Linked DNA regions of Oryctolagus cuniculus. The protein of the gene in region 5 purifies or fractionates together with the protein of the main gene of each other region. This does not show direct contact. Links are inferred from orthologs where the notes say so. Each region holds a gene or a part of one and is shown on either strand. Other genes may lie near its edges.

Region 1 (3,892 bases), on a different chromosome or scaffold from region 5:
ACCCCCCCATACCCCGACAGGGGAGGGAGCAGGCCTGGGGAGGGGGCAGTGCCCAGGGGTCTCCCCCTCCCACCCCCCACAGTGGAGGGTAGGAACGGGGTGGGGTGCAGCTCACGTGTTTCACTACAGGGTTGGAGACCGGTGTCTCGGGGCTGCTGTCGGGAGGGGGCCCTGAGCTCAGCATGGCGCTCACACACATTTCCACTTGGGTGTGCAGGAAGTTGTTGAAGACATAGTGGAAGAAGAGGTCCTGGGGACGACCCGCCAGCGTCAGAGGCCCCAGCCCTGGCTCCCCCCTCCCGCAGCCCGCCCCTGCCCGTCACACACCAGCAGGGTGTTGGGCACATCCAGTGCCAGGAGCTCCTGCGTCAGGGCCATGTCATTGGCACTCAGGGCGCTGGCCAGGAGCTTGACCACGTGCAGCCGTGTGTTGCCCAGGGGCGGGGCCAGGCTGCCCCATGTCATCCGCAGTGGCTCCAGCTGCAGGTCCAGGGCGGGCTCAGTTCCCACAGCAGCCCTCCCTAACCCCTCACACCTCCCGCTGGGACCATGAATCCCCGTGCCCCGGACCTTGGGTGGCTCCAGCAGGAGCTGGTGGAAGTGGGCAAGCCGTGGGCGCAGAGCGTGCAAGGCCCCCGTGCTGGACGCCGCACTCTCCAGGGCGCCCTGGGCCAGCAGCTCCAGCTGCCCGTCCACGCTGCTGAAGAAGTTGTTCATGGTCACCGACTCAGACCTGCGGCAGGGACAGGGCAGAGGGAGTGAAGGCCCACACGTGTGCACGGGGCGGGGTGTGGTCAGGGCTGCTCTCCTCTGAGCCCTGCTCAGGAGTGGCAGTGAGGAAGGCGGGCCAGCAGGAAGGGAACAGGGAGCCCACGGTGCACGTAGCAGGGGGACCTGCGTGAGCAAGCGGGGTGCAGGGCTGCGACAGAGCTTCGCCCACGTGGAGGGCCAGGCCCTGCACCACACAGGCTCGACCCCAGCCCCTCTACTCTTGCGAGCAGGCGAGGCTTGGGCCCCAAGGTGCACACGTGCCCCCGGTATGATCCTGACCACCGCGACCGGGAGCACAGGTACTCGCCGCGTGTGAGGCGCTGTGTGCCAGGCTTTGCACAGTGCACGCTGCAACCTCCCGTCCAAGGCCCTGGGGAGACCCGGGGCGCCCCAGCCCCTCACCTAGGCCTCCTGGGCTCGAGCAGGGTCAGCAGCACCTGGACCCCGCTGACGACGACAGAGGGGCTCTGCTCCCCCTCCAGCATGTTGCTCAGTAGCTGCTCCATCGTCTCCTGCCTGGGGGGTCAGGGAGGGTGGGGTCAGGGAGGAGGCCAGGGGCCTGAGCTCCCCTCCCAGCCCTCGGCACTGTTTGGCAAACCCACTTCTCCAGGGTGGCCAACAGCTGGTCGGGCTCCGGGCCATCCTGGCCTTGGATCATCTGCTCCCGGCTCAGGCGGATGATGTCGCACAGGGACTGGGACGCGTTGGAATGTTGCTGGGCAGGGCGAGAGGGCGGGGTCCAGTCAGCTGCTGGCCCCCCACAGCCTGGCGCCGGGACCCCCCAGCAGCCACTCTCTGGTCCCCCAGGCACCAGGAAGGACGGGGCAGGGGCAGGGGCACGTGTCGCAGAGGGAGCCCCGGGCATCGAAGCTCCCAGCACAGGAGGCACACGGGCCGCCCAGCAGCCCTGCTCACAAGGTGGTGAGCGGGGACCCACTTATGAGCGATGGCCACACACAGAGCTGAGGGAGGGAGACGGGAGGGCCTGCTGGTGGGCAGTTTCTCTCTGGAGCAATCACACGTTCTGCACCTGCTGTGCCGACAGCAATCCACTAAAGCCACTGACTACAACCAAGTGGAGGAGCCCACGGTGCCTTATTTACTTCTCCAAGTAGTCACAGAAGATGTCACAGGACTAAGGGGAGGCACGGAAGCACAGGCAGAGCTCAGAATCTGCCCAACAGCAGCAGTCAGGACCGAGCCTCCTGGTGCCTGCCCCATGGCTCACAGCAGACGCCCGGGCCTCAGCCTCACCGGCCTCAAGAGCTGCGACCCCCCTCCCCTGGGCACGGGCCAGGGCTGGGCCAGCCTCTGAGCCACGTCCCTGCTCTGCGACCCCCCTGGGCACGGGCCAGGGCTGGGCCAGCCTCTGAGCCACGTCCCTGCTCTGCGACCCCCCTGGGCACGGGCCAGGGCTGGGCCGGCCTCTGAGCCGCGTCCTGCTCTGCCAGCCCGAGACACAATGCTTCCAGGGACCCCGGAGGCTGACGCTCTTGGCACAGGGGTGGAGGCGGCTGGGACCCAAGGCGGGGGAAACGCGAGTGTGGGGTAGGAAGTGGGGCCTCGGGGGACTGCGGAATGGAGTCCGGAGGACAAGTACAAGGACAAAGCTAAGTGGCAGGAAGGAGGAGCCTGGGAAGGCCCTCCAGATCCCCGGGGGAGACGCCAGGGTCAGGGGTTGCCCTTGGTGCCCCTTTCCCACCCATGCATCCCCCAAGGGCAAGCGTGCGTGTGCACAACCAGTTCAGCGGAGAGCAGCAAGGCCCACGCTCACATTGTCATCCTTCGATGGGTGGATCTGATCGATGAGCCGCTGGACAATCTTCTCCTCGTTGAGCCACTGGGGACGAGAGGCTGCGTGAGGCTCCTCCTGTGCGCCGCGCCCCGCCCCACCCCACCCCGCCCTGCGGCCAGCCCCTCACGTTGACGACGTCCTGCCGCAGCTGGGGCCGCTCCACGCAGGTGAGCAGGCGCAGCAGGAGGTCCATGATGGCGGAGGTGCCGATGTGCCGCAGCAGCAGGTCCACGAAGTCGTCTTTCTTGCGCAGGAAAGACACCAGCTGCGGACATGGGGCTGTGTCACGGCACCAGGCCAGCCCGCACTGCCCGCCGGGGTGTGAGGGGGACACGGGGCCTGTCACGGGGCCGGGCCAGCCCGCACCGCCCACCGGGGTGCCGAGGGGGACACGGGGCCTGTCACGGGGCCGGGCCAGCCCGCACCGCCCACCGGGGTGCCGAGGGGGACACGGGGCCTGTCACGGGGCCAGGCCAGCCCGCATCGCCCATCAGGGTGCGAGGGGAACACGGGGCCTGTCACGGGGCCGGGCCAGCCCGCACCGCCCATCGGGGTGCCGAGGAGGACACGGGCCATGCCACGGCACCGGGCCAGCCCACACCGCCCGTCGGGGTGCCAGCTACGGACACGGGGCCTGTCATGGCTCCAGACCAGCCCGCACCACCCACCAGGGTGCCGAGGGGGACACGGGGCCTGTCACGGCTCCAGACCAGCCCGCACCACCCACCAGGGTGCCGAGGGGGACACGGGGCCTGTCACGGCTCCAGACCAGCCCGCACCACCCACCAGGGTGCCGAGGGGGACACGGGGCCTGTCACGGCTCCAGACCAGCCCGCACCACCCACCAGGGTGCCGAGGGGGACACGGGGCCTGTCACGGCTCCAGACCAGCCCGCACCACCCACCAGGGTGCCGAGGGGGACACGGGGCCTGTCACGGCTCCAGACCAGCCCGCACCGCCCGCCGGGGTGCCGAGGGGGACACGGGGCCTGTCACGGCTCCAGACCAGCCCGCACCGCCCGCTGGGGTGCCGAGGGGGACACGGGGCCTGTCACAGGGCCGGGCCAGCCCGCACCGCCCGCCGGGGTGCGAGGGGGGCAGGCACCTGGTCGGTCTTGCGGTTGATGAGGATGCCCATGACCTTGCTGAAGAAGCTGGCCAGCAGCGGGTTGAGACTGCTGCCGCTCTGCAGGAAGCCGTAGAGCCGGTTCAGGAGGGACTCGTCGGCGCCCAGGGCGTCGTTGATCTGGGGCACGTCCGAGGTCAGGATCTCACAGGCCACGCTGGGGTACCTGGGAGGCGAGTGCCAGGTGGGAAGGAGGCCCGC
Region 2 (3,892 bases), on a different chromosome or scaffold from region 5:
GACTCCCTGGGCCTGGAGAGAGAAGGCAGATGAGTTGGTGCAGAAGGCAGCGCAGGGCACAGGCTGCCCCCACTCTGCTGCTGGACCCCCAAGCCTTAGAAGTGCCTGGGCCCAGAGTCCAAGGCATGCTGGGAGTGGGGAGGCAGCAGGAGTGTGGCCTTGGGAGTCTGGTTCGAATCCAGTGCTGCTGCTGGCAGGTGACTGGAAGAGGAGCATAATTGAATTTCTCCCAAAGGATTAGGCACAGGTGGAACACTCAGTACTGGGAGAATGTGTGTTTCCCACTCTGGTCTCCTGGCCCCTGGCCCAGCTGCCCTGTCTTCTGTTCCTTGGGGGGCCTTTCTTCCCTCCACCAGTCCCAGCCACCTTTGCACCTCTTCTCTCTAGACCCCCCTCACACCACCCCTCCTGCTGGCTTAATTTCCCTAAACATCCATACCCCTTCTCACTTCATTTCCTGCTGGCAGGAAGAGGGAGGTGGGAGGAGAGGGGCTGGGGTGGGGGTGAGTCCCCTCCTGTACCACCCGACCCTCCCTTCACCCTCTCTACCCACCCTCCCAGCCTGCAATGTGACTATCCACAACCGCTGTAAAGACACCCTCGCCAACTGTACCAAGGTCAAGCAGAAGGTGAGAGGGTGGGGAGGGCAGCGGGCTGGGGGAGAGGGTAGTGAGCGTGCGGTACCCTCTTCCATTCATCCCTACCCTGTGTGCCTCAAGCCCTGTCCTCACCATGGGCAGCCCAGACCCTCAGCCCCAGGCCTCCTGCTGCACCTGCTGCAAATGCAGCCCCGCAGCCCTGGGCCACAGCGCCAGTGCCTCCCCGTGCCTGTGGGGGCGACCCGTGGGTGATGGCTGTTCTTGGTGTCTCTGTCTTGCAGCAACAGAAAGCTGCCCTGCTGAAGAACAACACTGCCTTGCAGTCTGTGTCTCTCCGCAGTAAGAGTGAGTAGTGGCCCCAGGAAGACCCCGGACCCCAGGCTGCTCGGCCCGTGGGCTCTGCTGCCCCCCTGAGGTCACTCACAGGCACAACACCGCTCTCCTCCTTGGGGAGCTGGGAGCAGGGACACGGGATAGTCCAGACCCTCTGGCTCAGAGCCTGGACAGGAGGACCCAAATGGGGTTGAGGCTTGGGATGGCCAGTCCCCTGAGCCCGGCCGCACCCCTGTGCTGTTGCTGATGTGCTCAGCATTGGCGACCTGTCATGGCTCGATTCAGACAGCATTGTTCCAGGGGAGCCAGGTGCTAGGGCAAAAAGAGCCGAGCCCCAGACCCTGCTCATCCACTGGCCGAATCCCCGCCCCTTGTTGAGCTTCACTTTGCTCATGGGCTTGCTCCCAGAAAGAGACAAGACAAGGTTCTTGGGGAGCATTGAAGTAAGGTGGCTTTGTCCTCACCGCTGCCACCACGTCCCCTGGACAAGAGCCGAGGAAGCTGGGAGGCCTGTGTCCTGCGAAGGCACCAGTGTTAACATTTGCCCTCTTGGTCTCTGCACCCCCAGCCACCATCCGAGAGCGGCCCAGCTCTGCCATCTACCCCTCGGACAGCTTCCGGCAGTCCCTCCTTGGCTCCCGCCGCGGCCGCACCTCCCTGTCCTTAGCCAAGAGCGTGTCCACCACCAATATTGCTGGGTGAGCCCCTGCTTGGGAACGGGGCAGCCAGGCGGGCCAAGAGCGCGGCAGTGGAGCCTGAGGTGGGGGGCGCGGAACGGTCCTTTGACATGGGGTGGGGGGAGGCTGCCTCTGGGATCCTGGCTGTGCTGGGGGATGCCAACAGCCCCAATTCCTTCAGCCATTTCAACGATGAGTCTCCCCTGGGGCTGCGCCGCATCCTCTCGCAGTCCACGGACTCCCTCAACGTGCGGAACCGGACGCTGTCGGTGGAATCCCTCATTGACGAAGGTGGGTGGGTTGGCGAGGAGCGGCAGCTGGGAAGCAGCCTGGCAGGGGGTCCCGGGAGGAGGACTCGGCTCTGAGTTGCTGCCCCGGCTCGTGCCCAGGTGCAGAGGTGATCTACAATGAGCTGATGAGTGACTTTGAGATGGACGAGAAGGACTTCGCAGCTGATTCCTGGAGCCTGGCCGTGGACGGCAGCTTCCTGCAGCAGCACAAAAAGGAGGTGATGAAGCAGCAGGATGTCATCTATGGTGAGCCAAGTCCGCCCTCGCATCCCTGCCTTCACCAGGTCCTGCCCGTCACATCCTCTCTGCCCACCACCACCTGTCGAGGCCCTTCCCCTCTTTCCCTGCGGGTCGCCGTGCTGCTGCCTGGCAGCCCAGTGCAACCACTGTTGCTGTCGGTCTCCGAGGCCCTGTCTTTGTCCTTTCTCCAATTCCTTCCTCAGTCTTTTAATATTTATTTTATTTATTTGAAAGGCAGAGTTACAAAGAGGAGAGATAGCAAGGGGGAAATCTTCTGCCTGCTGGTTCACTCCCCAAATGGCCACGATGGCCAGGGCTGGGCCAGGTCAAAGCCAGGAGCCAGCAGCTTCCTCTGGCTTTCTCAGTGTGGGTGCTGGGGCCCAAGCACTTGGGCCATCCTCTGCTGCTTTCCCAGGCACATTAGCAGGGACCTGGTTCAGAAGTGGAGCATCTGGGACTTAAACTGGCATCCATATGGGATGCCGGCATCGCAGATGGGAGCCTAACCCATTACCTGTTAACACCACAGTGCCAGCCCGCAGTCTTTGTTCTGTGCTTATCCCGGAGCTAGGGAAAGCCGGACGTGTGGAAGACAACGTGGTCCTTGCTCTGAAACAACTTACAGCTTGCAATGCCAAAGCATAACTACAGATAAAAGATTATTAGAGAATGACCTAAGATCCTAGTAATGCAGAATGTTAAGCTGGTCTGGGCCTTGAAGACCTGTGGGTGCCCTGAGGTCCCTATTAGCCTGCAGCACCCCACCCACAGTGGCCATGCCAGGCGGAGGAGGCCAGATGTCCCGTTGTGCCCACAGAGCTAATCCAGACAGAGCTGCACCACGTGAGGACGCTGAAGATCATGACCCGCCTCTTCCGCACGGGGATGCTGGAAGAGCTGCAGCTGGAGCCCGGAGTGGTCCAGGGCCTGTTCCCCTGCGTGGACGAGCTGAGCGACATCCACACGCGCTTCCTCAGCCAGCTGCTGGAGCGCCGCCGCCAGGCCCTGTGCCCTGGAAGCACCCGCAACTTCGTCATCCACCGCCTGGGTGACCTGCTCATCAACCAGGTGGGACGAGTTCCTGGAAGGACGGGTAGCCAGGGTGGACAAACTGGACGGGCTGGGGAAAGGGGTCGTGGTGTCCGGGGGCGAGCTGGCGAGGCGGGAAGCTGGCCCGTGTGGCAGGAGGCCGGAGGTGGGTCCAAGGGAGAGGGTGTGACATGGGGGAGTGGGGGGTGCTGACACAGTCTGTCCCCGATGTCCAGTTCTCCGGCCCCAGCGCGGAGCAGATGCGGAAGACCTACTCGGAGTTCTGCAGCCGCCACACCAAGGCCTTGAAGCTCTATAAGGAGCTGTATGCCCGGGACAAACGCTTCCAGCAGTTCATCCGGGTGAGCGAAGCCCTCCAGGTGTGGGGGGGCAGTCGGGGTCCGAGCCCGTGTGTGCCCGTCCACTCGCAGGCGCCGTCGGCTTCGGCATTGAGGCAGCCCTCTGTGACAGGGCAGGGCCCTGTGGGTGCCCAGGCACGGCGGACTCCTCTGGTTGGCCCCCATGGCCCTGAACCCCGCCTCTTCCTTGCAGAAAGTGACCCGCTCTGCGGTGCTAAAGCGGCATGGGGTGCAGGAGTGCATCCTACTGGTGACTCAGCGCATCACCAAGTACCCGGTGCTCATCAGCCGCATCCTGCAGCACGCCCACGGTGAGGGGGAGGGGCAGCGAGAGAGGGCTCCCTGGGATGACCCCAGGGAACTGG
Region 3 (3,892 bases), on a different chromosome or scaffold from region 5:
AGGACCTGGCTTGGCCACGGCACAGGCTGAGGGCAGCAGTAGGACCTGGGGCGGCCACGGCACAGGCTGAGGGCAGGAGCAGGACCTGGCCCGGCCACGGCACAGGCTGAGGGCAGCAGTAGGACCTGGGGCGGCCACGGCACAGGCTGAGGGCAGGAGCGGACCTGGGGCGGCCACGGCACAGGCTGAGGGCAGCAGTAGGACCTGGGGCGGCCACGGCACAGGCTGAGGGCAGGAGCAGGACCTGGCTCGGCCACGGCACAGGCTGAGGGCAGGAGCAGGACCTGGGGCGGCCACGGCACAGGCTGAGGGCAGGAGCAGGACCTGGGGCGGCCACGGCACAGGCTGAGGGCAGCAGTAGGACCTGGGGCGGCCACGGCACAGGCTGAGGGCAGGAGCGGACCTGGCCAGGGGAGGGCCCTGCGCTGGGGGCTGCTCTACTGCTCTGCGTAGGTCCCAGGATGGGGCTGCCCAGCTACACCAGGCTCGGGCACTGCCTGCTGCTGTGGATGAGACATGACTCTCTCCCTTGGTTCCGCCAAGATTTGTGCCCGAGATCACAGCAAAGCTGAAATGCGGCCAGGACTGCGGCATCAGGAGGACTCTGGTGGCCCATGAGCTGAAAAACAGCTTTGCTGCCCGCAGGTCTGAGCGCCAGTGCGGGACCCACAGACTGCACGCTGTGCTCAGACCCACCCAGGACCAGGCCTACCCAAGGAGAAGGCCAGACGACGACGGAGGTTGCGTGGCCCTTTCCCTGTCAGGGTTTCCCCCTGTGAAGGGGCAGGGGCTCCAGAGGGCTCACCTCGGATGACCTCGCTGATGTGTGTCTGCACAGGGCCCCGCTCCAGGTTCTGCACCACGGCGTTGGCGATGCGCGTGAGGTGGCCCATGTTCCCACGCCGCATGCCACCTGCTGCCCTGAAAGCACAGGCACCATCAGGCGGCCGCCCAGCCCTGTCCTTGCTAGCCGCCTGCCCCTGCTCAGCGTCACCCTGCAGCCCTGCCTCCAGATTCCTGTGTCCAGACAGCACCTGCAGGTCTCTGTCCATCTCAGCACCACACAGCGCTGCTGACACTGACCGTGCCCGACTCCCACCACGCAGCCCTGCTGACACTGACTGTGCCCGACTCCCACCACAGAGCACTGCTGACACTGACCGTGCCCGACTCCCACCACAGAGCACTGCTGACACTGACCGTGCCCGACTCCCACCACGCAGCCCTGCTGACACTGACCGTGCCCGACTCCCACCACAGAGCACTGCTGACACTGACCATGCCCGACTCCCACCACAGAGCACTGCTGACACTGACCGTGCCCGACTCCCACCACGCAGCCCTGCTGACACTGACCGTGCCCGACTCCCACCACAGAGCACTGCTGACACTGACCATGCCCGACTCCCACCACAGAGCACTGCTGACACTGACCGTGCCCGACTCCCACCACGCAGCCCTGCTGACACTGACCGTGCTCGACTCCCACCACGCAGCCCTGCTGACACTGACCGTGCCTGACCCCCACCACGCAGCCCTGCTGACACTGACCATGCCCGACTCCCACCACAGAGCACTGCTGACACTGACCGTGCCCGACTCCCACCACAGAGCACTGCTGACACTGACCGTGCCCGACTCCCACCACGCAGCCCTGCTGACACTGACCGTGCCCGACTCCCACCACGCAGCCCTGCTGACACTGACCGTGCCCGACTCCCACCACAGAGCACTGCTGACACTGACCGTGCCCGACTCCCAGACTGCAGGACTGAGAGAGCCCACACAGTGTCGGCCCAGATGCCACTGGACGCGGCCGCACAGCAGGAATGGAGCCCGAGCCTGAGGACTCAGCCATGTGGGGAACTGTTTGCTTGTCCCACAAGCAGGTCCAGGTGACAGGTCCACAGCAGCACTCAGAGCCCTCGGGGCTCCCATGAGCCCCTCCCACATTCCCAGAGCCCAACGCTCCCAGTAGGACAGCACATGGTGGGGGCAGACATGGACTCTGACAGAGGACAACAGGCAGGACCAGCTTCCTGCCCAGAGGGGCACTCGGTTCAATGGAAGATGTGCAAAGACTGAGATAAAAATGCACGCCTGTGAGTAAGTGTTAATGGAGTGAGTCCAGGTTCCTGGGGAAGTTCAGGTTCGGATGTGGGACCCTCAAGCACACAAGGCCAGCGCAAGCTGGGGGCGAGCAGACACCGGCGTGGGCTCTCAGAAGCAGAGACTTGCCTAGCTGCCCCTTCCTGACCAGTTCTGTGCCCTCCCTCCCGGCCAGCTCTGAAGCCCAGCAGGAGGGAGGGCTCTTACTGTGTGTGGTCGTTGGCTTCCCACGCCTCCAGGATTCTCTGTACCAGGCAGCACTTCTGGAACAGCTGGGGAGACAGGTGCTGAGTGAGGGTCTGCACCCCACCCCTCCTGCACATCAGCACTGCGGACCCTGTGGGCAGGACATCCTTGCAGGCCAGCTTCTGAGGTCCCTGCCCAGGGCCTCCACAGGCTCACAGCGCTGAATGCCCTGAAAGTGAAGAGCAGGGCGAGAGGACACGCTCTGTCCTCCCCTGCCCTCCCCTTTCTCAGAGTCCAGAAGGGCCGATGGAGCCGCCAGCATTCTCCCTGGCTTTCCGACTTGATTATTTGAGAGGCAGAGTTACACAGAGAGAGATGGAGATCTTCCATCTGCTGAGGAACCCCACCCAGTCGTCCCATGGGTGCAGGGCCCAAGCACTGGGCCATCTTCTGCTGCTCTCCCATGCACACTAGTAGAGACCTGGGTTGGAAGTGGAGCAGCCGGGACTCAAACCAGTGTGCATATGCCATCACAGGTGCAGCCTTACCCAGTGCAGCGCTACACTGGCTCCTCTCCTGTTTCTTCTACCTGGCAAGTTTATCCGGACCCCACCTGCATCCACAGCTAGCTCACATCAATGAAGGCCCCTGCAGGCCCTGTCCCCGATACCTGGCTCTCATCACCAAAAGCACCCGCCTGCCAGCTGCTTCTCCCGGCAGTCACTGTGCATCACACTGGACCCCATGCAGGGGTGACCCTGAGAGGCTCGCACACAGAGTGCCAGGGCCCCTGTCAAGGGCAAGCAGGGGTGAGGCCTTCCAGACCCTCAAACCCCACTGTCATGAGGCATCTGAAGAGAGATCCAGGGACCCCTTGTCAAGTTTCTGCCCTCCCATAGCCACAGGTGGGGTCTGAGACATTGAGACATTCCTGGGGGGGAGAAAGAGGGAGGGAGGGAGGGGTCTGAGACATTGGGGGGGGGGGTGGAGAGAGAGAGAGAAAGGGAGAGAGGGAGAAAGGGAGGGAGGGAGGGAGATCTTCCATCTGCTGGTTTACTCCCCAAATGGATGCAACAGCCAGGGCTGGGCCGGGCCAAAGCCAGGAGCCAGGAGCCACTTCCAGATTTCCCATGTGGGTGCAGGGGCTCAAGCACTTGGGCCATTTTTCACTGCTTTCCCGGGCACGTTAACAGCTGGAAGCAGAGCAGCTGGGACTTGAATCGGTGCCCATGCGAGAAACTGCATGGCAGGAAGTGGCTTAACTTGCTGTGCCACAACACTGCCCCTGCACCTCTTTTTTTTTTTTTTTTTTTTTTTTGACAAGCAGGGTGGACAGTGAGAGAGACACAGAGAGAAAGGTCTTCCTTTTTTCTGTTGGTTCACCCCCAAATGGTCGCTACGGCCAGCACACCGCACTGATCCGAAGGCAGGAGCCAGGTGCTTCCTCCTGGTCTCCCATGGGGTGCAGGGCCCAAGCACTTGGGCCATTCTCCACTGTCTTCCCGGGCCACAGCAGAGAGCTGGACTGGAAGAGGGGCAACCGGGACAGAATCCGGCGCCCTGACCGGGACTAGAACCCGGTGTGCCGGCCCCACAG
Region 4 (4,609 bases), on a different chromosome or scaffold from region 5:
CCGGCAGGCCCCTCGGAGCCTGCCCCCCCCCCCCCGTAGTCCTCCCCCTGGACTGGACCCCGCCCCCCGCAGTCCTCCCCTGGGCTGGCCCCCGCCCCGGCAGGCCCCTCACAGCCTGCTCCCCCCCCAGTCCTCCCCCTGGGCTGGACCCCCAGTCCTTCCCCTGGGCTGGACCCCACCCCCGGCAGGCCCCTCGGAGCCTGCTCCCCCCACCCCCCTGTAGTCCTCCCCCTGGGCTGGACCCCTCCACAATCCTCCCCCTGGGCTGCCCCCCCAGTCCTCCCCCTGGGCTGGACCCCTCCACAATCCTCCCCCTGGGCTGCCCCCTCACAGTCCTCCCCCTGGGCTGGGCCTCCCCCCCCACAGTCCTCCCCCTGGGCTGGCCCCCGCCCCTCGCAGCCTGCTCCCCGCCACGATCCTCCCCCTGGGCTGCCCCCCCCACAGTCCTCCCCCTGGGCTGGACCCCTCCACAATCCTCCCCCTGGGCTGCCCCCTCACAGTCCTCCCCCTGGGCTGTCCCCCCAGTCCTCCCCCCCTGCAGCCTGCTCCCCCTGGGCTGCCCCCCCCAATCCTCCCCCTGGGCTGGCCCCCGCCCCCGGCAGGCCCCTGGCAGCCTTCGGCCCCCTCGGTCCAGGCCTGCCCCTCCGGCCCTGGGCGGCTCCTGCTCCAACCTGCCCTGCACCGCCCTGGCTCCCACGGGCGGAGCCCAAGCCCCAGGTAGGTGCCTCTGGCCGACTTCCAAGGCCTCCGGTGTGTCCCCCCACCCCAGACCTGTGCCGGCCCCACCCTGTCCTCCCAGGGCGTGGGGGGGGGGGAGGGTGCGCTCGGCCCTGCCCCGCCCAGGTCACCTGCCTGTGTGTGCCCGCCCTCACCGCGACCCGGCTTTCCGCCCTGCCGGAGTCCACGCGGGTGACCGCGGCTGCGGGGAGGCCAGCGCCCCGCGGGGTCTACGAGGGCCCAGCCCCCCAGCCAGGGCCGCCAGGCCTTGAGGACGCTTCTCCGCACGGGGTCCAGGCGGCCCACACCTGGGCGGGCACCTGGGGGGGCTGTCCGCGCCCCGCGCCGCAGCCTGGTCCGGGAGGAGCCCCCCAGGGCCGTCCTCGGAGTCGCGGGCCTGGGGTCCCCGGGGGGCGGCGCGGAGGTCAGCTCGCGGGGAGGCCCTCCCCTGTGGAAAAAGGGAGGGGCCCGCGCGGCCTCTCTCGCCGCTCGCGCTGGGGAGGGCCCCACAGGGCCGGGGGCACTCGGCGACCCTGGCCTTGACCCCCGCGCCCGGGGCGGCCACGTGACGGCGGCGAAGTGCACGCGACAGGTAATCCCCGCCGTAAAAGTTGGCAGTGGAGAATGCGGGCATCGATCCCGCTACCTCTCACATGCTAAGCGAGCGCTCTACCACTTGAGCTAATTCCCCGGCCCCGCACGGCTTCCGGCGCCGGCGCGTATTGTGACTCACGTCATCACCGGTCCCCTCGGCCCCGCCTACCCGCCCGTCTCGCTCCCCCATTGGTTCGCTCGCGGCTCAGGCTCCACAGCCGCGATTGGTTTGGCTCAAGTTAGTTTCAAGAGACATTGGCCGCTCAGATTGGTGGTCCGAGGCGTCCGTCAAGCAGAGGCCCTGCTGTTGCTACGGCGTAGGGGGCTGGACCGAGCCAAGTTTCTCCCGGTTCCTGATTTGTTTCTGCGACTCCAGGGTCCTAGAGGTTCCGGATCCGTCAAGTCCATGGGAAAAAGAATGTACCCCTCGCGTTTGACTGACGAGGCCTGCGAGCCAATCGAAGGGGAGGCAAGGGAGCCGCTGGGCGATCCAATAGGTTGAAGGGGGCGGGAGAGGGAGGCCAATGAGGGTGGAGCTGGGGGCGGGGGCTGGGCCGCGATTGGCTGCGAGGCGGCCGGAGGGAGGGCGGGGGGCACTCAAGGCCTGCTTGATACGTCCGCCATTTTGGGCGCTTCGCTGATGGTGTCGGTGAGCGCGTTTCCCGCCTGAGCGCAACTAGCGGCGGGTCGTGGGCGCCTCCAGGTAATGGGGGTGGGGAGGCCTCGGGGCGGGCCGCGGCGCGGGGGCGGCGGGGCGCGCGGGCGGGCGAGGGGCGCCTCGCCGGGGTCTCGGCGCGGGGCGGGAGCGTCCGGCCCCTCTCCCCTCCCCCCCGGAATTCGCCGCTCGGCGGCCCGGGAGGCGCGGCGCCGAGCCCTGCCGCGCCGCTGCCCGCCCGCTCCTGTCAGCCGCGGCCCGGGCGGCGAGCTCGGCGCGGCGCGGGTGCCCGCGGCCTGGCGCGCCCCTGCGGGGCTCCGGCTTCCCGCCCGCGTCGCCCCGGCCGCCCCCGCCGCGTGTCCCGGGGAGCCGCGGGCGAGCGCGGGCCATTGTTGGACTCTGTCCTCCGGGAAGCAAGTTTGGTGGGCTTCGCCCCGCCGGGCGCGGAGTCGTCGGGACGCGCCCCGAAGCCGGCCGCCGCGCTCCCGTGGCCTTCCTGGGGGCCGGGGCCGCGAGGACCCCCGTCCGGGAGGCGCGCGTCCGCGGCCGCCGCGCAGGTGCTGCCCGCCGAGGGGGCGCGGGCGGAGTCGCAGGTGTCCGGGCGAGTGCGGGGCACCGGGGGACGCGCTCGGGGCCGCTCCCGCCTGGCCGGGGTGGAGTTTACTTTTTCTGCCCTCAAGGTCACGTTGCTGATGGGCAGCGCGCGGCCCGAGGCTCGCGGTTGCCCCGCGAGGCTGCGGCTCGCCGGCGCCGTGACCTTGCGTGGTCCCGGGGCACCTGTGCGCGGGGCGGCCGGGCCGGGCCGGGCCTGGGACGCGCGCAGGCCCCGGTGGGAGTCGGACGAGCGTTTCGGCCCGGCCTGCTTTGTAGTTTAGAGTCAGCTGGGGTCGGAAATGAGTGGAAGTTGTAGTTTTGTGTTTTTTTTTTTTTTTTTTTTTGGAAGGGGGCTGATGGAGCTTCGTGGGATTAGATCCGGGGGCTGGAGCCAGGGCTGGTGTTCCAGGAGGGGGCTACACGCAGAGGGCCGCCCAGCGCTTTCCTGGGACTCTGCCTCGTGTACCTTTGGGGTCCTTCCTGGAGTGTTGCGCGGGGTTCTGAGGCGCCCCTGGTGGGGTGTGGGTGCACCCCAGGGCCCTCCCGTCTGGGTGCAGCTGGGAGCGGAGTGCGGCGGCGGCGGCCAGTCGCCCAGGCCTCCGCTGCCCCCCCGCCCCCGGTGCCTGTGCTGGCCCGGGAAGTGGATTCTGATCCTGTGGAGGCCCCCGTGGGGACCGGCATCAGGCTGCTGTGGCTTACTCAGACCGGAAGGAGACTCGAGCTTTGTGCAGAGTACAAGAAGCCAGACAAATAAACAGAAACATCTTTCGGGTTTTGACTGGGAATTAGAGTCAGGCCACAGCTGGATGTGTAGATGAAGACTTGACGGGTGAGGCGTGTTTGGTTTCTTCAAGATAAATTTTTGCGTGTTTGGTACAGAGATAGTGTCTTTATTACAAGTAAGCATTCCTGAAACAGCATTGGCCAGGCTTGGCATTCCGTCATGAGCTTGTCTTGTGGTTTTGAATTTCAGATATCAGCCCGAGCATGTGTTGACTGACAGTTTTTACAGTGTTTCCTGCACGTCAGAGTAAGCGACAGTAATGGCGGTCTTTGACTGCTCAGCGGGAACCCAGCCTCGGGGTGCTTCACGGGGAGCACTAAGTCAGGATCTGAGCCCAGTGGGGCTTCTTGGACTGACTTAGGCAGCTTTCACGCTTCTTCCTGTTCTTAAGAAAACCTCAAATGGTTGTTTTTAATTATAGATCAGGGATTCTCAACTTGGGGTGATTCTACCCCGGGAAGCGTTGGGCAGCGTTGGGAGACGCTTGCCAGCCTCGGGGGTGGGTGCTGTGTGTTTGGAAGGCAGAGGCCCGGGACACCGCGCAGGACAGTCACCCAGCGCGAACAGCAGTGGGGCTGAGGCCGATGCACCCTGCTCTAGGTGGTGGTGGACTGGCCTGTGTTAGAATCCCGCGGGACGTGGAGGCCGTGGGTGCGTGAGCATTGTGGTGCAGTGGGTTAAGCTGCTGTTGGCATGCCGGCAGCCGTATCCGTTGGTTCGGGTCCTGGCTGCTCGGCAGTTGTGGTGATGTGCCTGGGACGGCCTCTGCCATCCTCATGGGCGGCCCGGATGGAGTTGGTGGCGGTGGCCTGGCCCAGCCCCATTCTTGTGGGCATTTGGGGAATGAACCAGAAGACAGATTGATGTCGCGGTCCTGCTCGTCCCCTCTGTCTCTCTTCCTTTCAGAGGACATAAACGAATCAGTCTTATCCTTTTAAAGACGACCATGGTGCTGGGCCTCAGCTCTGGTGGTTTGTGGTGGGGGTGAGAATCCACTTTTAAAAACTTCCCAGACAAATTGCTGTGCTTCTCGGGTTTGGGACCACTGTTCAGGATGTTAGATTTCAGGGACAGTTGTAGCTGGGGGTCCTTTGGGTGATTTGTGAGCTCTGCCTTTGCACCCAGATCCTGCCCGGCAGATTTTAGTAGTGAGGGGAGATGATGCGTTTCAGGTGCTTCAGCTGTAAGGGAAATAGTAAATGAATTGACTGTGTAAGATACTTAGAAGCCTGCTCATAGCCCAGGGGCAGGGGATGTGCCTGTGG
Region 5 (3,892 bases):
GGGGAAACACCCTGATCTGACTTTGTAAAAGAAAGGGGGAGGATTCAGTCTAACAGACTTTCAAATCTTCTTGCCCTCCTATACAGCTAGGATAATGCTTGGTGTGTGGCAGGTGTTCAAACAAGGCTCAGTTTAGTGTTTCTATGTTAAAAGAAGTTACGGCACATTATGAGGTGGGGGTCATCGCTTTATCCACTGACTCAAGTTGGTCTGGCTATCTTGTGATTTTTAATAATAGTAAAAATTTTATCAGTGGTAATGTGTAGTACCAAACTCTGATTAAAGAATATGGGCTTTGGAATCAGTAGACTTTGCATCGGAGTTTTAAATGAACCCATGTCACACATCCATTGAATATCTGCCATGAAGCAGGCATTGTATACTCACGAAAAGATCATCTGTCATTTGAACTTCATTTTTTTCAGAATACCTGCTCCCTAGAACTGTAGCCTACTATACTAATAACTAGAAAAAGTATAGTTAACTTTCTTAATTCTTAAAATAGAAGTTTTGTATTATGTCAAATATAAAGATAATAGGAAGTCAATCTAAGTATGTATTTTTAATTGATATTTTTATTTATTTCTAGGCCTATCACGGTCACCATCAAGCACTGGAGGTGCTAGTGCAATCTTTGTTAGATCTTGATGTGAGAAATAGTAGTGGAAGAACACCCTTAGATCTGGCAGCATTTAAGGGCCATGTGGAATGTGTGGATGTGCTCATTAACCAGGGAGCCTCAATCTTAGTGAAGGATTACATTTTGAAGAGAACACCTATCCATGCAGCAGGTATGCCAGATGTTAGCCTGGATTTATTTACTGCTTTCCATCTAATATTTTCTCTTTCAGTTTCTAGTATACAATACTCCTGGTAAATTGTCTTTAAGTTTTTTACTTCAAATGGTAAAATGATTGTATTTTTAGAGGAAAGCCAGCAAGATATACCAACTTTAAGAAGTCATTTTCTGTCTTAGAAGATGTATTTATATCAATTCTTTAAATTCTTTATCAAAGCAGTAATTTTTTTACTTCTTTTTTGATGGAAGTTATTTTGGATTGGAACATGGCTTTTATTCAACAATTGATAAACATTCTGACTCTTTGTACCAGTGTTCTGCATTAACCATTTTTTCAGACAAAATATGTAGGTCATCTGCTTTATGTAAGAATTACTTCATATTGTAATTTTGTGACGTTACTGGTAATGTAAAGACTACAGAAATCTGTAACCAAGTCATTAAAGCAACTTGATACCAGGTGTTTATCACTAGAAAGTGCAGAGGCACAGTTCTCTACAGGAATTACATTTTTATCTTTTAAATTTATTTGCATTTTATTTGAAAGGCAGACAGATCTTGAATCTGCTGGTTCTCTCCCCAAATGTCTATAACAGCCAAGGCTGGACCAGGCCAAAGCCAACAGTCCAGAACTCTATCTGGGTGTCCCATGGGAGTGTCGGGGACCCAAGTACTTGAGCCATCATCTGCTACTTCGCAGGGTGCACATTAGCAAGAAACTGGATCGGAAGCAGAGTAGCCAAGACTCGAACCAGGCACTCCAGTATGGATGCAACCAGATTTAACCCCTTCACCAAATGCTCACCCCATTTTAAATAACCACGACAGGTACAACTGAAGAAAAGTTAGCTGAGTGTTTTTCTTATCTTCAGTAGGCTATCTTTATATGATTAGATTGATTTCACTTAGTCTGCTTTTACAGAATGATCCTTGAGATCATTTGAAGGTTGGATTTTATTTCTATACATGTTTATTTTATTTGTAAAGTTTGCATTGAAGACCATAGGTAGCACCCACTCTGGCTCCCAGAGCAGTCTTTCAGAACTATCAAATACTCAAACAGGGATCAGAGGCAAATATTTTAATAATGGATTAAGACCCCAAATAAATTTATATTTAAGAGGTCAAATGTTATCACTTTGTAGTTAGCTTATTCTGTAAAAGCGTAAAGTTCTGTCAGCCAACAAATAGAAAAATTATATTGTAACCACAGGTCATTTGTAGAACTAATTAAAGCTTTCATGGAGTTTTGCATTAATATTTCAGTGTTGAACTAAGAAACTTACCAGTCCCTCACAAATAGCTCAACAATGCCATATAATCCAGCATAAGTTCTACCTAAAAAAAAAAAAACTTACAGGTTAATGTTAGCACCTACCTATTCAATGAATGCAAGCCTCCATTCTGTAGATCTCTTTCAAATTTGGAGGCCAGAGAGCGTAAGTCATGAAAAAACTCAGATTTTTTTTTCTGGAGGTGAGCCAGTTATCTCCCAGAGTGATGCTATGCTTGGTGTTCTGACACAAAAACACTCTTCAGTAGCTGTTGTGCAATGAGTATACATGAATCTTTTCAAAAATGATGGGCCAAATAAGATCTCCTTGAACTATCCCCAGGTGTTATAGTCTCTCTCTCTCTCTCTCTCTTTTTTAAATTAGACAGGCAGAGTTAAAGACAGAGAGAAAGGTCTTCCTTTTCTGTTGGTTCACCCCCCAATGGCCGCCGTGGCTGGCACGCTGCGCCGATCTGAAGCCAGGAGCCAGGTGCTTCCTCCTGGTCTCCCATGCGGGTGCAGGGTCCAAGCACTTGGGCCATCCTCCACTGCACTCCCAGGCCACAGCAGAGAGCTGGACTGGAAGAGGGGCAACTGGTAGAGAATACGGCGCCCCAACCGGGACTAGAACTCGGGGTACCGGCACCGCAGGCAGAGGATTAGCCTAGTGAGCTGTGGTGCCGGCTATGGTCTGTTTATTACTGAGCAGAGTACAGCATTCAGATTAGATGGAGTCGGAAAGGGGTGATGGTTTTGAGCTACAAATCTTACTATTAGAATTTAAAATAGGTATCAGAACATACTTCCGAATTGTGGTAGCTAGCTTGCTTTCACTAGTTTTGTCATCTGATTAAGAAGAATATTGGTACAGTGTTCACCTCTGTTTCATTATATGGCTTATATATGCTTTTAAACTTCAAACTTGATTGTATATATGAGTAAGACCACACTTAAGCAAAAGATTTAACTGACTTTAAAAGCTTTCTGTTTTCTTTGGGATATGACTTTGCTTGTATCCTTCCCCATTTTGTGTTATTTGGAAATACATAAGCATGATTTCATAGATGAAATTCTTTGAGCTATCGGTAACAGAATACGTAACTGAAAGTGGTTTCAGTGATAGGTGTTTAGTCTTTCACATAAATCAGCCAGAGAGTGTGACAGTGATGGCCAAGTGGTTAAGGCGTTGGACATGAAAACAGCTGGTGTTGTGGTGTAGACAGTACCCACATGGGCAACCGGTTCATGTCCTGGGTGCTTCACTTCTAATCCTGCTCCCAGCTAATATGCTTGGGAAAGAAGCAAAGGATGGCCCAATTACTTCAGGTCTTTGCACCCACATGGGAGACCTGGAAAAACTTCCTGGCTTTGGCCTGGCCCAGCCCTGGCCTTTGCAGCCATGTGGGGAGTGAACCAGCAGATGGAAGATCTCTCTCTCTCTTTCTCTGTCTCATCCTCTCTCTCTGTAACTCTGCCTTTCAAGTAAATAAATAAATCTTAATTTTAAAAAATGGCCAGAGTTAGAAGCATTTCCAGGTTTGGTTTATTCCTCCTGGGCCAAATTCTCTTACTCTTTTTATTTTATTAAAAAAAAAAAAAAAAAAAGTGGGCGTGCAAGGGTTTAACTTACTTATTTGAGAGACAGAACAAGCTCTCATCTGCTAGTTCACTCTTCAGATGCCTGCCTTTTGTGTTGGTGTTGCAGGATAGTCACTGCTTCTTTACAGGGTCCCATCCAAAATCAAGAAAGAGGGGTGTTTCCATTATCAAACATAAAGGTATTTCCCAGAAGCCTTGTGGACTTCAAAATCCCAGTGGTC
Region 6 (4,474 bases), on a different chromosome or scaffold from region 5:
GAGGAGACACAGATGGAGTTCTGGAGGCTGGCTCAGCCTGACCCAGCCCTGGCCTTTGTGGCCATTTGGGAAGTGAACCAGCAGATGGAAGGTGTCTCTCTGTGTATCTCTGTCTCTCTGTTACTCTTTCAAATAAGTAAATAAATCTTGAAAAAAAAATTTTCTAAAAATTCAGACAACCTTCAAGTTATAGACTCTCTCCTCCAAAAGTACTTACATATTCAGCAAACTAGACTTTTAGTATATGTGCTGCCAAAGCGAGCACCAAACTAGACTTTTATCACTCCTTCTTTCACTTAGCAACTTATGAAATCTAAACCATCTATTGAGCTCTGTTGTCCACTCACTCTCAGGTACTTTATTCTTATTCCCTCAAAACAGGCAGATTCGACCTGGTACTAGTATTTTGACCATTTCAAATTCAGTTATAAAGAACTTGTTATCACACCTGAACATCCTATGTATTTATTATTTAATGTTGCACCTCTAACTTCTAATAAACTTAAAATACAAATAAAAATTTACTTTCCTTTCTACCCAAACAAGTCTCTTCCATCATGTTCATTAAGTGGCCCCAATTAATTCTTTCCATCCTCTAACAGAATATTTTCTACTGACTTGAAAGCATCAAAGGTGCTCCTAGAGTATTTTTTGGTCTGCCTATTTTTAGTTTGTACTTCATGCCAAGAAAAAGAAACATAAATTAAATTTCTTTAAATACTCTGGAGGTGCCGGCGCCGCGGCTCACTAGGTTAATCCTCCGCCTTGCGGCACCGGCACACCGGGTTCTAGTCCCAGTTGGGGTGCCGGATTCTGTCCCGGTTGCCCCCCTTCCAGGCCAGCTCTCTGCATGGCCCGGGAGTGCAGTGGAGGATGGCCCAAGTGCTTGGGCCCTGCACCCGCACGGGAGACCAGGAAAAGCACCTGGCTCCTGGCTTCGGATCAGCGTGATGCGCCGGCCACAGCGCACCAGCCGTGGCGGCCATTGGAGGGTTGGAGGGTGAACCAACGGCAAAAGGAAGACCTTTCTCTCTGTCTCTCTCTCTCACTGTCCACTCTGCCTGTCAAAAAAAAAAAAAGAAAGAAAAAAAAAATTTTCCAAAACAGAAGTCTCTAACAGAGAAAAATCCAGAATTTAAGTAGTTGCTCAGAAGATATAAAGTTTATTAAGAATCAGATGCAAATAAATACAGTCCAACTATGTTTCAACAGGAAATAAAATGGTTTAATAATTACTTCCTTCAGATAACGTTTAGCAGACTAAGAGATCTAAAGAAAATCCAACTGTTTTTCAAGTAATTTGTGTCCCACCTCAAGGTAATATCAAGACATATTTTCTGAAACTGAAATCACAAAGTACAAAACGGCTTTAAACATAACAAATGAAAACAGAATTCCACATCGATTCATTAACATGCAATGAATTCACCAAAAAGATGAACAATGCTACCAGCAGAGGCCTGGCCAGTTCTCCATGAACGGGTTCCCAATGCTGGCTACACAGCACGCGTCTGAAGCACTGGGAGCAGAAACACTACACTACCATTAATAAAAGCTGTCCTTAGTGAAGCTATCCTATTAAAAATGGGGGGGGGGGGGACGAGAGTGATTATCCCAGCATAAGCACATACAATTCATTTATATTCACATCAGGCCAGGGAACCTGAAAAATTTTGCATACTTGTTGAGTGAGGTTAAATATCAACTTCCGGTACCAAAGGATATAGCAAAAACACAAACACGGTCACATCTACTTTTGTAACTTTACAACCCACGGCTTAATGAAAGCATGAAAAGCACTCGAACCGTTTACAGCTTACCCACTTAGCACAGAGCCCATCAAAGTTAACAGAACAAATGAGACACCGGCACTAGCGGGTAACCGCTGCTGGAAACCCAAGCACTGGTTTCAACAAAGCACAGAAACGCTTTTCCAAAATTATCCGACCCCGACTCCTGCACCCACACACACAATCCCACCACTCGGGCAATAACAAGCAAAAAGTCACCTTCTTCCAAAAAGCCAAGAAGTGGGTTTCGGGGGCACGACTTCCAGGCGAGCAAGCTACTGGTATCTGCACACTTTACCCAACACCGCCACAGACCGGGATTCCCAGCTGAATTGGCACGAGAGCCAGCACGCCCAAGGAGCAATGTGGAGCGGCGTACGGAGGGACACGACGTCCTCTTACTCCGCTCGGGCCCCGCCGCCCCGCCGGACCTCAGCGACCCCGGGAGCCGGCCACCCGCGCTCCTGTCACCTCCGGGGAGCACCACCCGCTGGGGCTCGACTCCGGCTCCGGGGCTCGGCGCTGCGGCTGGGGAAGAGCGGGGTCTTCCCGGCGAAGCTGTAACGGCTCCGCGTCCAGGGGCAGCCCGCAGGCCAGGAGGGGCGACCCCGGAGGAGAGCCCGCGACAGCCCTCGGGATCCCCGGCGGGGGAAGCCAGGACAGCATCCGGGCACTCGGGCTCTCCCGTCTCCCCGCGTGACGCCGAGCCCGAGGGTCGCCTCCCACCGCGGAGGGCTCTCCACCGCGACAGGACTGGACACCCGGCAGGGGTCCCGCGGAGAGAGGAAGGGCGGACCGGCGGGCGCCCCACAGCCGGAAGGGGCGAGCCCCGCAAGCGGCACTCCCGCCCCGGCCGGGCTCACCTTCAGGTCGTTTTCTGGCAGGTACTTGCACAGCCGCGCTATCTCCACATACTTGTCCAGGTCTAGCGGCGCCATTTTAGGAGGAACAAGCCGCGGCGGCGGCGGCGGCGGCGGCGACGGTACTAGCGGCGGCAGCGGCGGAGGCCGAAGCCGGAACTCTCCCTACGTCACGTCCGGCCCGTGAGTGGCGTCTGCGCAGCGACGTTAAAGCTTGACCGGATTCTCCGCGCCGCCCCCGCACGTCCCGCGCCCTCGCTGACTGATCCCAGGCTGCAGCCCGAAGAGGTCCCCTCAATTCCGCCCGCGAAACCTGCTGGGACCCGTAGTTGCCTGCCGCGGGGGTTGCTGGGATTTGTAGTTTTCAGTTGGAGCCGGCTTCTCTTTTTCCTCCTCTTCCCGGTACTTCACCCCTGGAGACCCGGCAAGGCTTATCGGAGGCAAAACGGCGAAGTAGGTGACCTGAGCGTTCTGTGGCTTCTCGTTGCGACCCTTTTAGGCCCTCTCTCAACAGGACATCCTCAGTTAGAAATTGGGTAAGCCTGCCCGTAGTAGCCTGGTTGCGCCTTTCCAAGGTTTTGCAAAAACCTCGGTTAAACCTGTGGCGGAGAAGCCGAACTCCCAGTCGTCTGGTCTTGAGGATGAGAAAGGAAATGTCAAAGCGTTTCTTGTACCGGATGCCGCAAGGGTTCTTTTATTCTGTGTTTTCTTCCCCGCCCCACTCCCCTTCCCCCATTAATTCTCATGATTGCTGGGAAGGTAAGGCTTGGAGACCCTACGTAACTTGCCCCACATGTCACCGGAAACGAACGGTAGAGTCAACATTGGAAAACAGGTCAGCTGGCTTAAGCAGACCTCCGTGGGAGTCCCACGAGGGAGGGAGTTTAATGTTGTGTCCCCAACCGAGTAAGATCACCTGGCACTGAGTAGGCCTTCAGCATTCATTGAGGCATTCGTCATTCCGCAGCTGTTTACCAAACACCAGCCATGGGCCAGGTACAACTGCAGGCGCTTGGGATACGCAGTCAACACAGTAGACAAAGACGGGCGTCCACAGCCTGTGGTTGACAGCTAGGACGGGAAGACACCACGCTGCCATCAATGCATAGCGTTTGAGAAAGTGACGTGTGCTAGGGGAACAACGCGGCAGAGTAAGGACATGAACTTTGAAAGCCATCTAAGAAGTGGGGGAGTTGCCCATGCAGCTACCTGAGGGATATGATAGGGAGGAGCTGGTGCGGAGGCCCTGAGGTGGACGCCTATCTAAAGTCTTCGGGAAACAGCAAGATTTGTGTGGTTGGAGCAGAAGTGAGAGGAGTAGGAGAGATCAGAGAGAAAAGGAGAAGAATACTGTGTTTTTTTGTTTTGTTTTTTAAGGATTTATTTATTTGAAAGTCACAGTCACACACAGAAGGAGAGAGAGAGACAGTGAGAGAGGTCTTCCATCTGCTGGTTCACTCCCCTAATCAGCCACAATGGCTGGAGCTGCTCTGATCCAAAGCCAGGAGTCAGGAGCTTCTTCCTGGTCTCCCACACAGGTGCAGGGGCCTAAGCAGTTGGGCCATCTTCCACTGCCTTCCCATGCCACAGCAGAGAGCTGGATCAGAAGTGGAGCAGCCGGGACTTGAACCAGCACCCATCTGGGATGCCAGCACTGCAGGCGGTGGCTTTACCCACCATGCCACAGCGCCAGCCCCTGCTTTTTTTTCTTTTAAATGAAATGGACTGCTATTGCAGGGTTTTTAGCACAGGAGTAAAATGATGTAGCTTGTTGTAGAAGGATCACTCTAGCACTCTGGGGACTCCTGGAGGGCGATGGTTGCA
Region 7 (3,694 bases), about 58 Mb from region 5:
AAGGTTGGCACCAGAGAGCTGTTCCCTTCCCTCCTTGTCCCCACTCTGTCAGGAGCACCCCAGTGGCACCTCATGAGCTCAAACTCTCCATCTGGTGGGATGAAGCTGATGCTGCGTTCAGAGTCAAACTTGCTGAGTCGCACACACTGGTGGAAGGTGCAGTCATCAATGGCAATTGATTGCTTCCCGCTGTAGTTGGGGCAAAAGAAATCTCATTGGCCCAGGAGAGTGGCAGTTGTCATGCTGGGGAACCACCCAAGGCTGACACCACAGACTACGGAAGCCCAAATGCAGCTTCCTGCCTGAGTTTGGAATGAGTGGGAGCTTTGCATGCCCTTCCCCTCAAGATGCTGCTGCTCAGGACTCGGGTGTTTCAGGCACACCAGGCAGAGGCATCAGCAGGTGCAAGCTCGGTCCTGAAGACCCACCAAAGGGCTTGTCCTCTGACGAGAGCAGGGTAGACAAACCCCTCATCTCTCATTGCTCTTAGAACTGGTGTCAAGAGCAACTAGCCAAGCACACCCTTGGGAAGACAGTAGGATTACAACAGAAATGAAGTTGAGAAAGAACTCCCCCAGACCCCACTGAGCCCTCTAAGGCCTGCCCTTTCCCACTGCTCCCCTGAATCAGACACCTCTTGCTTGTTTCATCAGCTGTGCCTTTGCCTTGCTTTTCAATTACAATCTTGTCATTCATCCCAAACTTGCACTCGGGCATGCCACTCAGGTAGCTCTTCATCACCACCCGGCCGGACACATGGGCACTCAGCACCTGCCCTGGTGACCAAACAGATAAATGGGAGCAGCTGAGTCAAACAGGCAGGCTCTGCATCCTGCCCTGGCCCCTCCTCTGGCTGTCCCATAAGAGGGCCCTCACCCTGTGGGGACATCAGTAGGTTCACACTCTCCAGCACATCCAAGAAGAGCTCATTCCGGCGATACTTGATGCCTTCTCGCCGCCAGCCGATCTGCCCAGTCACCTGGCTGGTGATCTGGGACTGTTCTTCTTTTGTCTAAGTGGAGGCAGAGATGCAGCAGAGGTTTCACTCCTCTCTCCTTTTAATCCTCCTGTCTGGGTCCCCACTGCAGCCTCATCCCTCCTCCCTTCTAGTCTCCACCTGCTGCATGGTGCAAGGCCTGCAGAAACAGCGCAAAGCTGCAAGGGTGGACATACAGGACGGCTTACCTGATGCTGTAGGCCGCAGGACCAACAAGGCGCCCACACGAAGCCGCAGGAGAGGCAGAAAAGAAGGAGAAGGCCATGAGGCCTGGATCCTAGAAGCAGGCCCAGCATGCTCCTCTAGACAGCCCACCCCTGCCCCCAGTGCAGGAAGAAACTGCTTGAGATGCATTCCCGGTAACAGAGATGCTGAGTCAGCTGCTCCTGCCTGGGCGGTGGGGAGAGCCACATGGACAAAAGAGGACTACAGTCATGGCAGGAGGCTCAAGCCAGTACTTCCTGTCAAGGGCGGACTCATGAGTCAGCTCGGACAAGGCTGGGGCCAGCTGGCATGAAGGGAAGTTGGGTTCCACCCCAACAGTGGTTGTACAATGTGAGTACCTGACTCTTGATGCCCTGCTGGGTAATGAAGGTTTTCAGAGCGCCTGTCTCAGAGTTCTGTGGGTAGCCAAAGTCCAGGATCTCTGCAAAAGGAAGGGAATCATAAGGCCCTGGACAGAGCTGAAGGTGCCTTCATTCTAGTCCCTCCCCTGGCCTGGACACGTCTGGCCAGCAAAGCTGGCAAAGACCCTGGAGAATCATTCACAGCATCCTCCCTTCAGCTTTGCAGCATTTACCCTGGGTTCTGTGCTTTGTAAGAAAACAGGACAGTGTTTGATTTTTTTCAAGTAAAGAAATCAGCAGAAGTGTCACGTGCCCAGTGGGTCAGAGGTCAAAAGGCTGAGACCTTGTTTTCTTTAGAAAACAGATGATGGGAAAGTGGGAGGGCTCATGTGCAGAGCACACCTTTCAGAAAACAGAGGTAGCAGTGCACCCCAAGGGGCCTGTAACACCTCGCCCTTTCCCAGGCTCCAAAGCAGCTGCCAAGATGGAGAGAGAGCTGGGAGGAGGTGAACGAAGGTGCAAACCACCAAGGAAGGAAGAGAATACGGGAGGTCCAGGCACGGAAGCCAGAGTCACGTTCCAGCTGAAACTTCCCCAGCCCCCACCTGCTGGCCTACTTCTGTGTTCCACTTCAGGGCAGCCTTTAGGCCTGGATTTGAACTGGCCTAATCCCAGCCCGAGAGAGCAGACACTCCAGAAAGTTCAGCATGCACCGCAGCTTCCACCCAGCTCCCGCTACCAGGCTGGGCCCAGTCGGGTTCATCCCCACCCTAGGCCCACAGCCCCACTGGCCTTACCATCCAGCAGCTCGTATATGAGCACAAAATTGTTCTTGATGTTTTCTTCGCTGATCTTGCCAAAGTAGGCAGCCATTACGTCACACATCTTATAGAGGAATTCGAAGACCATGGCAGCGTTGACATTCTGCTTGGTGACAGCTGCCAGCCAGATGTTGGAACGCTTAACATGGAAGAAGCTGGTGCGAGCAATGTTGGTGACGGGGCTGCGCACCTGCTGCCGGGCGTGGATAACATTGACCCGGAAGGCGTCCACTGCATTCCTCCTGAGGGGAAAGGGTGCACAGGACTGCTCAGGCAAACCTCAGGGACCAACCACAGCTGCTGAGAGCCCCACCCTCCTCACAGCTGAAGTCTGTCACACAGTCTATAGCCAATGCCTACACCAGCAGGGAACCAGTGGGGCACAGGAGGTGGCCTGAGCTGGGCCAAAGACCATGAGAAACAGGGAAGTGAAGAGGCAGTGCAGGAAGGCAGACGTAAGCTTAATAAACTAAAGCTCTTCAGATTGGGCAGCCATGTCCCTGACTGCTAGGCCTGCTTCCAATTTCCTACCTATAACCAGCTGCCACCTCTAGCGTCCTGGTAAGTTCCAGGACAAGAGAGAATGAGAGAATGAGAGCCTGCTTCTTCTCTAGTCCTCCCACTAGCAGCCCCTGCAGTGGGCAAAGCTGACGCCTCTAGAAGTTACACAAAGCGTGAGTTTGGAGAAGGCTCTGCCCTTCTGCGGGAGAAGTACCATGGGACCATGGAGCTGTGCCACCCGTTCTTGTCTGGGATCCAACTCCAGGACAAGTTCAAGGAATGAAGGACTACAGGGGTGGGGGTGGGGTGGGCAAGGTCCCCCACCCACCTGTACCTGGGCAGCAGCTTGACAGGCCCCTTACCTATTGCTACGGCAGCCAATGAGATGGGATGAGAGAAATGACGCCAGCAAGAAGAGGAGAGTGACAGCAACGAGAGAGAGGGTTAGACACACGACACACTGGGAGGACGGCACACACCATGAGGTGGCAGCAGACAAGACAGGCAAGGGATAAGAGCACAGCAAGGCATGCAAGGTAGTGTGTGACCTTGCCCCGGCTTGGCCAGGTCCAGCCAGCCAGGTCACACAGGCCAGGTGTTGCCCCCAAGTCTAGCTCATGCCGTGCCACCAGGTAAGGGGCAAACAGCCACAAAGGCCAGGCCAGCCCATCAGCCAGGGAGCCAAGAAGCCGGGCACTGCTACAGGCCCATTTTCCTGACTATTTATCTCAAGCTCTTTGAGGAAGTCCCTGCTCTCAAGGTAGCAGGAACAAGAGGAGCATAATCTCATCAGAGCTGCTGAGGTGGGG

The links.
Region 1: the proteins of ANKRD28 (region 5) and PPP6R1 purify together in Homo sapiens (co-immunoprecipitation; 4 studies listed by BioGRID and IntAct, with this or other methods). This does not show direct contact. The link is inferred for Oryctolagus cuniculus from reciprocal best matches to the Homo sapiens genes ANKRD28 and PPP6R1.
Region 2: the proteins of ANKRD28 (region 5) and ARHGEF2 purify together in Homo sapiens (affinity purification with mass spectrometry; 3 studies listed by BioGRID and IntAct, with this or other methods). This does not show direct contact. The link is inferred for Oryctolagus cuniculus from reciprocal best matches to the Homo sapiens genes ANKRD28 and ARHGEF2.
Region 3: the proteins of ANKRD28 (region 5) and PPP6R2 purify together in Homo sapiens (co-immunoprecipitation; 4 studies listed by BioGRID and IntAct, counting the BioPlex papers as one, with this or other methods). This does not show direct contact. The link is inferred for Oryctolagus cuniculus from reciprocal best matches to the Homo sapiens genes ANKRD28 and PPP6R2.
Region 4: the proteins of ANKRD28 (region 5) and PPP6R3 purify together in Homo sapiens (co-immunoprecipitation; 3 studies listed by BioGRID and IntAct, with this or other methods). This does not show direct contact. The link is inferred for Oryctolagus cuniculus from reciprocal best matches to the Homo sapiens genes ANKRD28 and PPP6R3.
Region 6: the proteins of ANKRD28 (region 5) and PPP6C purify together in Homo sapiens (affinity purification with mass spectrometry; 9 studies listed by BioGRID and IntAct, with this or other methods). This does not show direct contact. The link is inferred for Oryctolagus cuniculus from reciprocal best matches to the Homo sapiens genes ANKRD28 and PPP6C.
Region 7: the proteins of ANKRD28 (region 5) and AP2M1 purify together in Homo sapiens (affinity purification with mass spectrometry; 3 studies listed by BioGRID and IntAct, counting the BioPlex papers as one, with this or other methods). This does not show direct contact. The link is inferred for Oryctolagus cuniculus from reciprocal best matches to the Homo sapiens genes ANKRD28 and AP2M1.

The regions. Positions count from the first base shown.
Region 1 is NC_091449.1:3,643,274-3,647,165, reverse strand, and holds part of PPP6R1 (serine/threonine-protein phosphatase 6 regulatory subunit 1), read right to left. Parts: intron 3,858-3,892; coding exon 3,671-3,857; intron 2,832-3,670; coding exon 2,694-2,831; intron 2,612-2,693; coding exon 2,546-2,611; intron 1,487-2,545; coding exon 1,374-1,486; intron 1,288-1,373; coding exon 1,174-1,287; intron 734-1,173; coding exon 571-733; intron 481-570; coding exon 328-480; intron 251-327; coding exon 116-250; intron 1-115. UniProt on the Homo sapiens protein: Regulatory subunit of protein phosphatase 6 (PP6). May function as a scaffolding PP6 subunit. Involved in the PP6-mediated dephosphorylation of NFKBIE opposing its degradation in response to TNF-alpha.
Region 2 is NC_091438.1:42,726,094-42,729,985, forward strand, and holds part of ARHGEF2 (rho guanine nucleotide exchange factor 2), read left to right. Parts: intron 1-561; coding exon 562-629; intron 630-880; coding exon 881-944; intron 945-1,500; coding exon 1,501-1,630; intron 1,631-1,790; coding exon 1,791-1,900; intron 1,901-1,998; coding exon 1,999-2,145; intron 2,146-2,956; coding exon 2,957-3,207; intron 3,208-3,404; coding exon 3,405-3,530; intron 3,531-3,720; coding exon 3,721-3,838; intron 3,839-3,892. UniProt on the Homo sapiens protein: Activates Rho-GTPases by promoting the exchange of GDP for GTP.
Region 3 is NC_091442.1:123,368,217-123,372,108, reverse strand, and holds part of PPP6R2 (serine/threonine-protein phosphatase 6 regulatory subunit 2), read right to left. Parts: intron 2,382-3,892; coding exon 2,317-2,381; intron 922-2,316; coding exon 806-921; intron 1-805. UniProt on the Homo sapiens protein: Regulatory subunit of protein phosphatase 6 (PP6). May function as a scaffolding PP6 subunit. Involved in the PP6-mediated dephosphorylation of NFKBIE opposing its degradation in response to TNF-alpha.
Region 4 is NC_091432.1:4,119,656-4,124,264, reverse strand, and holds the start of PPP6R3 (serine/threonine-protein phosphatase 6 regulatory subunit 3), read left to right. Parts: upstream 1-1,674; 5' UTR 1,675-1,808; intron 1,809-1,871; exon of another isoform or gene 1,872-2,014; intron 2,015-4,609.
Region 5 is NC_091435.1:151,313,949-151,317,840, reverse strand, and holds part of ANKRD28 (serine/threonine-protein phosphatase 6 regulatory ankyrin repeat subunit A), read left to right. Parts: intron 1-589; coding exon 590-791; intron 792-3,892. UniProt on the Homo sapiens protein: Regulatory subunit of protein phosphatase 6 (PP6) that may be involved in the recognition of phosphoprotein substrates. Involved in the PP6-mediated dephosphorylation of NFKBIE opposing its degradation in response to TNF-alpha.
Region 6 is NC_091432.1:229,001,498-229,005,971, forward strand, and holds the start of PPP6C (serine/threonine-protein phosphatase 6 catalytic subunit), read right to left. Parts: upstream 2,947-4,474; 5' UTR 2,729-2,946; coding exon 2,654-2,728; intron 2,583-2,653; exon of another isoform or gene 2,010-2,582; intron 1-2,009.
Region 7 is NC_091435.1:93,758,077-93,761,770, reverse strand, and holds part of AP2M1 (AP-2 complex subunit mu), read right to left. Parts: intron 2,627-3,694; coding exon 2,361-2,626; intron 1,644-2,360; coding exon 1,561-1,643; intron 1,013-1,560; coding exon 877-1,012; intron 777-876; coding exon 635-776; intron 190-634; coding exon 70-189; intron 1-69.